Daphnia pulex: one gene and its partner. The protein of the gene in region 1 purifies or fractionates together with the protein of each later gene. This does not show direct contact. Links are inferred from orthologs where the notes say so. Each region holds a gene or a part of one and is shown in the gene's direction. Other genes may lie near its edges.

Evidence for each region.
Region 2: the proteins of partner of Y14 and mago-like (region 1) and protein mago nashi homolog purify together in Drosophila melanogaster (affinity purification with western blotting; 4 studies listed by BioGRID, with this or other methods). This does not show direct contact. The link is inferred for Daphnia pulex from reciprocal best matches to the Drosophila melanogaster genes Pym and mago.

The regions. Positions count from the first base shown.
Region 1 is NC_060028.1:8,803,025-8,807,587, reverse strand, and holds the start of partner of Y14 and mago-like, read left to right. Parts: upstream 1-1,716; 5' UTR 1,717-1,799; intron 1,800-1,846; exon of another isoform or gene 1,847-1,964; intron 1,965-2,067; 5' UTR 2,068-2,215; intron 2,216-4,563. Other genes in the region: actin, clone 403-like, read right to left, coding at 48-173. UniProt on the Drosophila melanogaster protein: Regulator of the exon junction complex (EJC), a multiprotein complex that associates immediately upstream of the exon-exon junction on mRNAs and serves as a positional landmark for the intron exon structure of genes and directs post-transcriptional processes in the cytoplasm such as mRNA export, nonsense-mediated mRNA decay (NMD) or translation.
Region 2 is NC_060025.1:2,833,395-2,836,270, reverse strand, and holds protein mago nashi homolog, read left to right. Parts: upstream 1-1,266; 5' UTR 1,267-1,363; coding exon 1,364-1,454; intron 1,455-1,530; coding exon 1,531-1,589; intron 1,590-1,647; coding exon 1,648-1,841; intron 1,842-1,900; coding exon 1,901-2,000; 3' UTR 2,001-2,108; downstream 2,109-2,876. Other genes in the region: uncharacterized protein MCAP_0864-like, read right to left, coding at 1-737. UniProt on the Drosophila melanogaster protein: Core component of the splicing-dependent multiprotein exon junction complex (EJC) deposited at splice junctions on mRNAs. Involved in exon definition of genes containing long introns, including the rolled/MAPK gene.

The DNA.
Region 1 (4,563 bases):
ATTAATATTAATCATCTAGTAATAATAGATGAAAGATTTAAATTCACCTGGTAACGGGGGCGGCCGACAATGGATGGGAAGACGGCGCGAGGGGCGTCATCTCCGGCGAATCCAGCCTTGCACATACCGGATCCGTTGTCAACAACCAACGCTGCTACTTCATCGTCGCACATTTTGTTTTAGGGTAGTTTTCTTGAGACGAGCGAAACGTAAAAGTAAAAAAGAGGATTCGACGGAGGGGATCCCTGTTGGTGTGCAAATAACTTTTCGTTAATGTGGGTGCAATTGACAAAAAGAATGAAGAAGTCAAGAAGAATGTGACGCGCACTCGGTAACGCCCATCAACCACTTGTTGGCTCGATTCACACCAATTTCTTTTCTTTTAACCAAAAATCACTTTTTGAACCACTTGAACGTCGTGAAAAATAGCAAAAGAAATTTCTTTCTCGTAGACAAATTTTTTCCAAAAGATTTAAAAAAAAAATTAAAGTAGAAATTTAAAAAGAGAAGAAGAAAAAGTTGCAAGAGAAGAGAGGACCCACCTTGGTATCGAACTATTCCTTGCCGGGGTGCCGGTGCTAATGCGCTCCTACACCACCGAGTGCCGGCTTTATATAGGGGGCGCTGCTATCAAAGTCCACAGCAGCAGCAGACAGCCCTACTGGCGGGCTACGGCTACGGCCACTAGAGTTTGCCCATATTGGGACAGACTTTTCTACACGCCACACACACACTATACAGATATGGTCCTGGAATCAGCCCCCCTGACTAAAAGAACAAAATGACGTCACAATGAGACAACAACGGACACTTCTTCTTAATATTTGATAATGCCAATAAAAAACTTGCGTGGATTTCAGCAATCAGACTCTTTTTTTGATTCAATTATATCCGTCATCTTTTATGAAATAACCTAAATAAGGACATGGGTTCTCAAATTGAGCCAATCTGTAAGGCGGGTCGGGTATAGCCAGTGTTTTTTAAAAATATTTCCCATTTGACCTGAATGAATTTAATCGCCATTTTGGAAATCGAGTTGGCCCGCAGGGATGATGAGCAGTGCATCTTATTTTTTTTTTATTTACTGAGAAAAATATATACACGCAACAGGTTGTTGTCTCCGATCGAGCTCGGTGTTTCACCTGAGAGCGGCCATTTTGATTTTTTAGGGTAGAACAAGTGGAGGGGGGGGGATGCACTGCTACACGAACGGGAAAAAAGCTTAGGGGTTTCAACGGTTTTTTTTGTTGTTTACTACCTGTGTAGCATAGTAGCTTTTAAATAGCCTTAAAATAAACTTTGATGAGATTATCAGCGGATGGCTCGTGTTATACATCTTTTGGCGCGACTCGAAGAGAAAGTTCACCTGGGAGAATTGATTACAACAAAAGGTTGTTTGAAGGGGGGGGTTAGAAGAGAAAATGGCTGACATGTCTCCCCTCTTGTTTCATCTTTTCCCGTCATCATCATTTCCTTCTTTCTTCTTCTCCCCCCACCAACTAGAACTGTTTTTTGTTTATTTTTTATTTTTTTAAATTTTATCATATTCGGCATTCCGATGGTGGGCCTTTTTTTCTCCGTCTGACTGTGAAGTCTTTCCAGCCAGCCAATCAGAAAGTACGTGACCATAAAAGGCAATCTTAAAAACCGGCTTCCCTCACTGGCAACGTTGCCGCTCGAGGAATCCCTTCCCCCACCCGCCGGTTGTTCAATCCGTCAGGTGGCGTTTCTTCTTCTTCTTCTTCCCACGAGTGGCTGTGATGCAGCTCAAAATGGTCTTTTTTCTTCTTCCTCGGCTGGTAATAATTTATACACACACACAACCACTTGTTGTATAAAGAGATGAAAAGTCATTCAACCGTAATATCGGTCGCTTGAAATTTATTGTCGAAATTTTGAAACTCTGCTCGAATTTCTTTGATGGACGATTATTGCTGTTGTTTTGAAATCATTAGATTCGTTCGGTTAGGTTTCGTGGGTTTTATTTTATGTGTTTTGTTTCTGTAGTTAAGGGAATGCGTGTAATGGAATCAAATGTGCGTATTTTTTGTTGGCCCCAACCTGTAGGTAAAACAAGCGAGTCCATCTTTTTTATTGTGAGAAACCCCCAACGGCGGACGGAGTGAACTAAAATAACGTCGTCTGGCAACAAAAACCCATTTTCTCTCAAATCTTCTGGCATCTTCTTCATCTGTTTGCCCTTAATTAACATTTGGTAACAACATTTTCTCTCATTATTCTTTTGATCGTGTGGGACAGGTGGGTTATTCGTATGACAAGTTCTCATCATTCGGTCGCATTGACGAACGTCGAAACGAGTTGGTAGTCTGATGAGGTTTATCGCCAGTTTGTGTGACACGCACAGAGATATCTCGATCACGCTCTGTTGAGGAATTTATAGACGACATCCTTCCTTCCTGCTCGACTGATTTACTTGCTCTTGGATCATCAGTGGGGGCTACTGACCGGCCACATGATGTTGGTTTTGGAACTCAACCATCAAAATGGTGGCCGGGATGTTCATTGTCGTGTTCCGGGGTAAAAAATTTATTTTTTTTAAAAATGAAAAAAAATGAAAATCTCCGTTTCTTCGTTCTGTTCACCGTGTGGCCGCGCCAGAAGCTATTCGAACGAGAGCAACAACCGAATCATTTTTTTTTCTTTCGCCAAAACGATTAAAACGGTCGTGGCCGGCTCTTTTGTCCCGCAGGAAAAAGAATCTCTTCGTTATTTTTTACGCTTGAAGAATTTATATTTATTTTTTCTCCAGACGTTGTTTCCCTCGTCAACAGTTTTTTTTTCCCCGAACGAACGACGCCATTTTTTACTTGTACGTCACACACACACACAACTTGTGGTAATTTGACGAGGGGGATAGTGGCTTCAGGTCATCCTCCTTATGTTAGGAACTGCCCATCTGTCATTATTGAGAAGACTAATAATATTTGAAGGGGGGAAAAAACTCACGTTCGGCCATTTTGGATTTTAATATCGGGATAAATTTTGTTTTTTTTATCAACTATAAATTGACCTTGGGACACTGGGATCTGGATGCACTCGTCCAACACCATGTAAGGACATGTTTAAATCGGTTTTTTTTCTCTCACACACTTTTGAACTTTTGAGGGTCTTAAATGTTTTTATCAAAGAGTTTTTGTGTGTGTGTTAATCTGTCAGTTAGAGAACAAAGTTCAAGTCAGTTGTGTGAAGAACCGGAACATGAGAATCGTCTTTTTTTTCCCATTTTCAAAAGTAGAGAAAGAGAAAAAAGCGTCCGACTTTGGTGGTGGAGAAGAACGTGACTTAATATGGTCAACTTCGTGTGTTTATCCGACGAGAGAGAGAGAGAGACGAAGCTTTCACGCAGGCACCGGTTTAGTTCTCGAAAAGATTTTTTTTTTCTTTCTTCCTATTCGTCGTCGTGATCCCCTCAATTTTGTGTGGTTTTAACCGTAATTTTCTCTCTACAAGAGAATTTAATCCCGAAATTAAGTAGACAAGATAAAGGAACCCAATCAAAATGTCAATGTCGAAACAAATGAGTTACAGCTAGGCGATAACTTTTGTTTTTCTCAAGGCTTCGGTCAGTCATCGATGATGATGTAAATAATCTGACGTGAGTCATCAAGTCTAAAAATGTGACGTCATTCATTTCCGTTTGGTATTTGCGCTAATCGAGACAGCCAAGAAATTACACAATGGGCTGCTGGCTAAGATTAATCGTTATCTGCCAAAAGGCCAAGTGGTGGTGTGGCGGAAGCGCAACCCGATTTCAGACGAAATGTCTACATGTAAAAGAGCAAAGGAGAAAATATAGGTAACCAGGCGAGACGGTGGCGCTGCTGTCGCTGTTTCACGCCGGCGTGGGAGCCGGCGTGAATATATGCGTCGCTTGACCATATATGGTAATGTTGGTCTTTTTGGTTTTTTGGGGGCTGTTGGTTGTTTCTCCCCTTTGGTGGGTGCGTACGACATCAAGAGCTTGAAAAGGCCACACCTCCCTCTTTTTTCGGGATGGCCCACATTGACACACAAAGTCACGTCACGTGACCTTGAAGAGGGAAGAAGACGAGCAGCAGCAGTTGAAACACTCAGTTCCTGCAGGCAGCACATGTGTTGAGGTTTTAGCGGGAGACAATTTACGTTGACGGATCCGCTGATGATCCGTTCCAATCGGCTCCCACAACAATGCGTTCACCGAGACTTTGTGTCTATTGTGAAAGAATTCAGGCGACAGATTGCCGACGCGACCTGAAAGAGTAACAAACACACACCTGGCCGAAATAATAATCATCAACTGGCCGTGAGCGAGTTCGGCTGTGCAGCACATAACAGAACATTTGACTGTGTTCTCACCATGTGATGCGCGTGAGCATCACCGGCACCGTGCGGATTATCACAGATGGATGAGCCCGTGATCTGGGTGTATGTATTTTGTGTACGTTTTGGGAAATGAGAACAAAAAGTAGGACGAGGCCATTGCACACGAGGAGTCTGCTGCCAACAGGATAGGACCTTATACACCTGGGCCCCGTTCGTTCACCAAGACGATGGCTGGTTCAC
Region 2 (2,876 bases), on another chromosome or scaffold:
TTTGACAAGGCTTTTTCTTCCTCAAGTTCTTTTGCTTTGCTGTCTAGTTGGAGGACAAGCTTTTCGTTTGCGCTTTGAAGAATATTACGGGCAGCGTGGAACCCTCTCATCTTTCGTTGCATAGATGTATTATGAGCGCATATCTTTTTGTACTGATCTTCAAGTTCCTCAATCCTGTTATCAACGACCGTCGTAGGAAGTTGCACATCCACGGTTTGAGTCGACTTATCCTCCTGTTCCGGGACTAGTATCACGTTGTTCTGTGCTAGTGCGGACTTGGTGTTGGCAGGATTAAAATCATCAACGTCGTCGACATTCAGTGCTGATTGGTTGTTCTTCAGGTGCGAGATGGTTTTCTCGAAGTTGGTGATGTCTCGATTTTTGGCATACAGTTCACACCTGGTAGAAATTAGCTCGTCACGTACCTCGTCATGTTCTGAGCTCAACGTGGAAAGTTCAAGTTTCAGTTGGATAACTTGATTTGCCAAACGTTCATTGTCTCTTTTCAACTTGCCATTCTCCTCTGTTTGGAATTGCTCATCGGGAATGCTGGTTGTTGTTAGCATTTCCGAATCCACTGTGAGCCGCTGTCTGGTGTCTTGACAAACTTCCGGTTCAACATCGACGCTGTTTGGGTATTCAGCTGATGAATGCTGATTTTTGGTACTAGGAGAAGATTTTTCGGTAAAATATTTCACCCAAACCCAAATCACAACGATTTCCAATAAAAGACCCATCTCGAAATATCTGCTGAAAACTTTTGTAAACCAAAACTACTAAGCAGTCTTATTATCTGTTGGCGTTGACTTGGGCTTTATATAACCTGCCATGGGAATCATTACTTATGCAGGGCTGTTTTTTCCTTCTTTTTCTTTCACCTCTTATTAGGTTTTTTCTTTTTAACATTCGTACTGAACTTAAATCATAGTTTATAAATTTGCGCATGTTATTCAATTAGTGTGAAGTTGATTGAAAATAACTATCAACTCTTTTTTTCCATTTTAAAACTCAGCATTGTGCTCGAGAAAAGTCGAGATTACGGTTTGCCTGGTTTGAAAATGCGACAGAGCGCCTGGGCGGTAAATTTGCAAACTAAATAACTTGTCTAAACTTGAATTCGTCGATGAAATTTATTCGGTAAATTAGTCAAATCGTCAAATTACCAAGTATATTTATTAAATTTGAGTTAAAACCCGGTTTAAACCACCATGGTTTTTTACACTGCAAAGCGAACGACATTGTAAAATGTGTTTAGGGATGAATGTTTCGGCTTGTTTTGGAGAGGGGGTAACCAGCAGTAGAACACAAGCGAGTAGCGTGGGTTGTTTCACTGAAATTTACAAATCGTAATTTATTACACAAAATGCCGAAAAGCGAGTTTTATTTACGATATTATGTTGGGCACAAGGGAAAATTCGGCCACGAGTTTCTCGAGTTTGAATTTAGGCCTGATGGTAACTAAATATCATGTTATTTGATGTCACATTTGCACCTTTCACTAAATACCGGGTCGTCCTAATTTCTTTTTAGGCAAACTGAGATACGCCAATAATTCCAATTATAAAAATGACACCATGATCAGAAAAGAGGTAATTTCAACAAGATATATGTTTATCAAGATCTGCAACATTTGATTTCTTTCTTTAGGCATATGTTCATCAAAGTGTTTTGAATGAGTTGAAACGAGTTATCGAAGACTCTGAAATTCTTCAAGAAGATGATTCCCTGTGGCCAACTCCTGATCGTGTTGGAAGACAAGAGCTTGAAATTGTCATGGGAGATGAACACATTTCATTCTCAACATCAAAGATTGGCTCCCTTGTAGATGTCAATCAATCAAAGTAAATCTATATTATTTTGAAACCAGTAAATTAGTTTAATTTCCCTTAATATTTTACAGAGATGCTGATGGATTACGTGCATTTTACTATCTGGTCCAGGATTTGAAGTGTCTCGTGTTCTCTCTCATTGGTCTCCACTTCAAGATCAAACCCATTTAAAGATTTTGACTGTGATGTGTATTGTCAAATGTCAATTTTCCATCTAACTATCCCATATGGTGTATGATTTTTTTTTGTCCAAGTAATAAAAAAGGATTTCTTGAAGAATTTTGTTTTAGTACTCAAACATGACAAAGTGTAGTGTATTCATGAACATATATTCTTTTTATAATCAGACAAAAATGAAAAGTGAAGGATACTGATTTTTGACAACAGAAGGGTGTTAATTTGGGTGTGTAATGTTATCAATAGAAACCCTGGAGGATGAAAGCCGTTGTTTATAGATTTTTCATGAGCTATCTTGTTCGAGATATCTACATTACGGGACCTCGCTAGAATGTAGAATGAATATGATTAAAAAACCGGTTAAACGTCCTTGCGAATAGGAAAGATCGATTTTACGCAACAAATGCACGAGACCTGGCGATACTGGCTTATGGCATTTCTTGTAAATGCGTAAATAAAACTAACTGGCCTACTTTTTTCCAACATATTTTGCAATACTTTCAACTGAATTATTTCCTCAAATATTTTCCGAACCGTTAAATGAAATGAGTCAATGTCAATGACACATCACATCCCACGCTATTTAAATGTCCTAAGCTCTCTCCCCTGCCTACACTGAAAATGTTAACAACTAACTGAAATAGATACAATTTGACCTTAAATTTTAAATTTTATGATTTCCAAATCATTTAGTAATGGAACCAAGTTTAATTCACTTTCTTTAAAAAAAAGTTAAGTAAAATAAACTTGTCAAGTTCAACCTGAGCAATGTGTGTTTAGGGTAGGTGTGTTGCAAAAGAAATTGCCTACCCTAGGTTTCCATTCCTTTGCTTCCGTTTTGCGGATCGTTCTGCCTTTACGTTTTTTTGG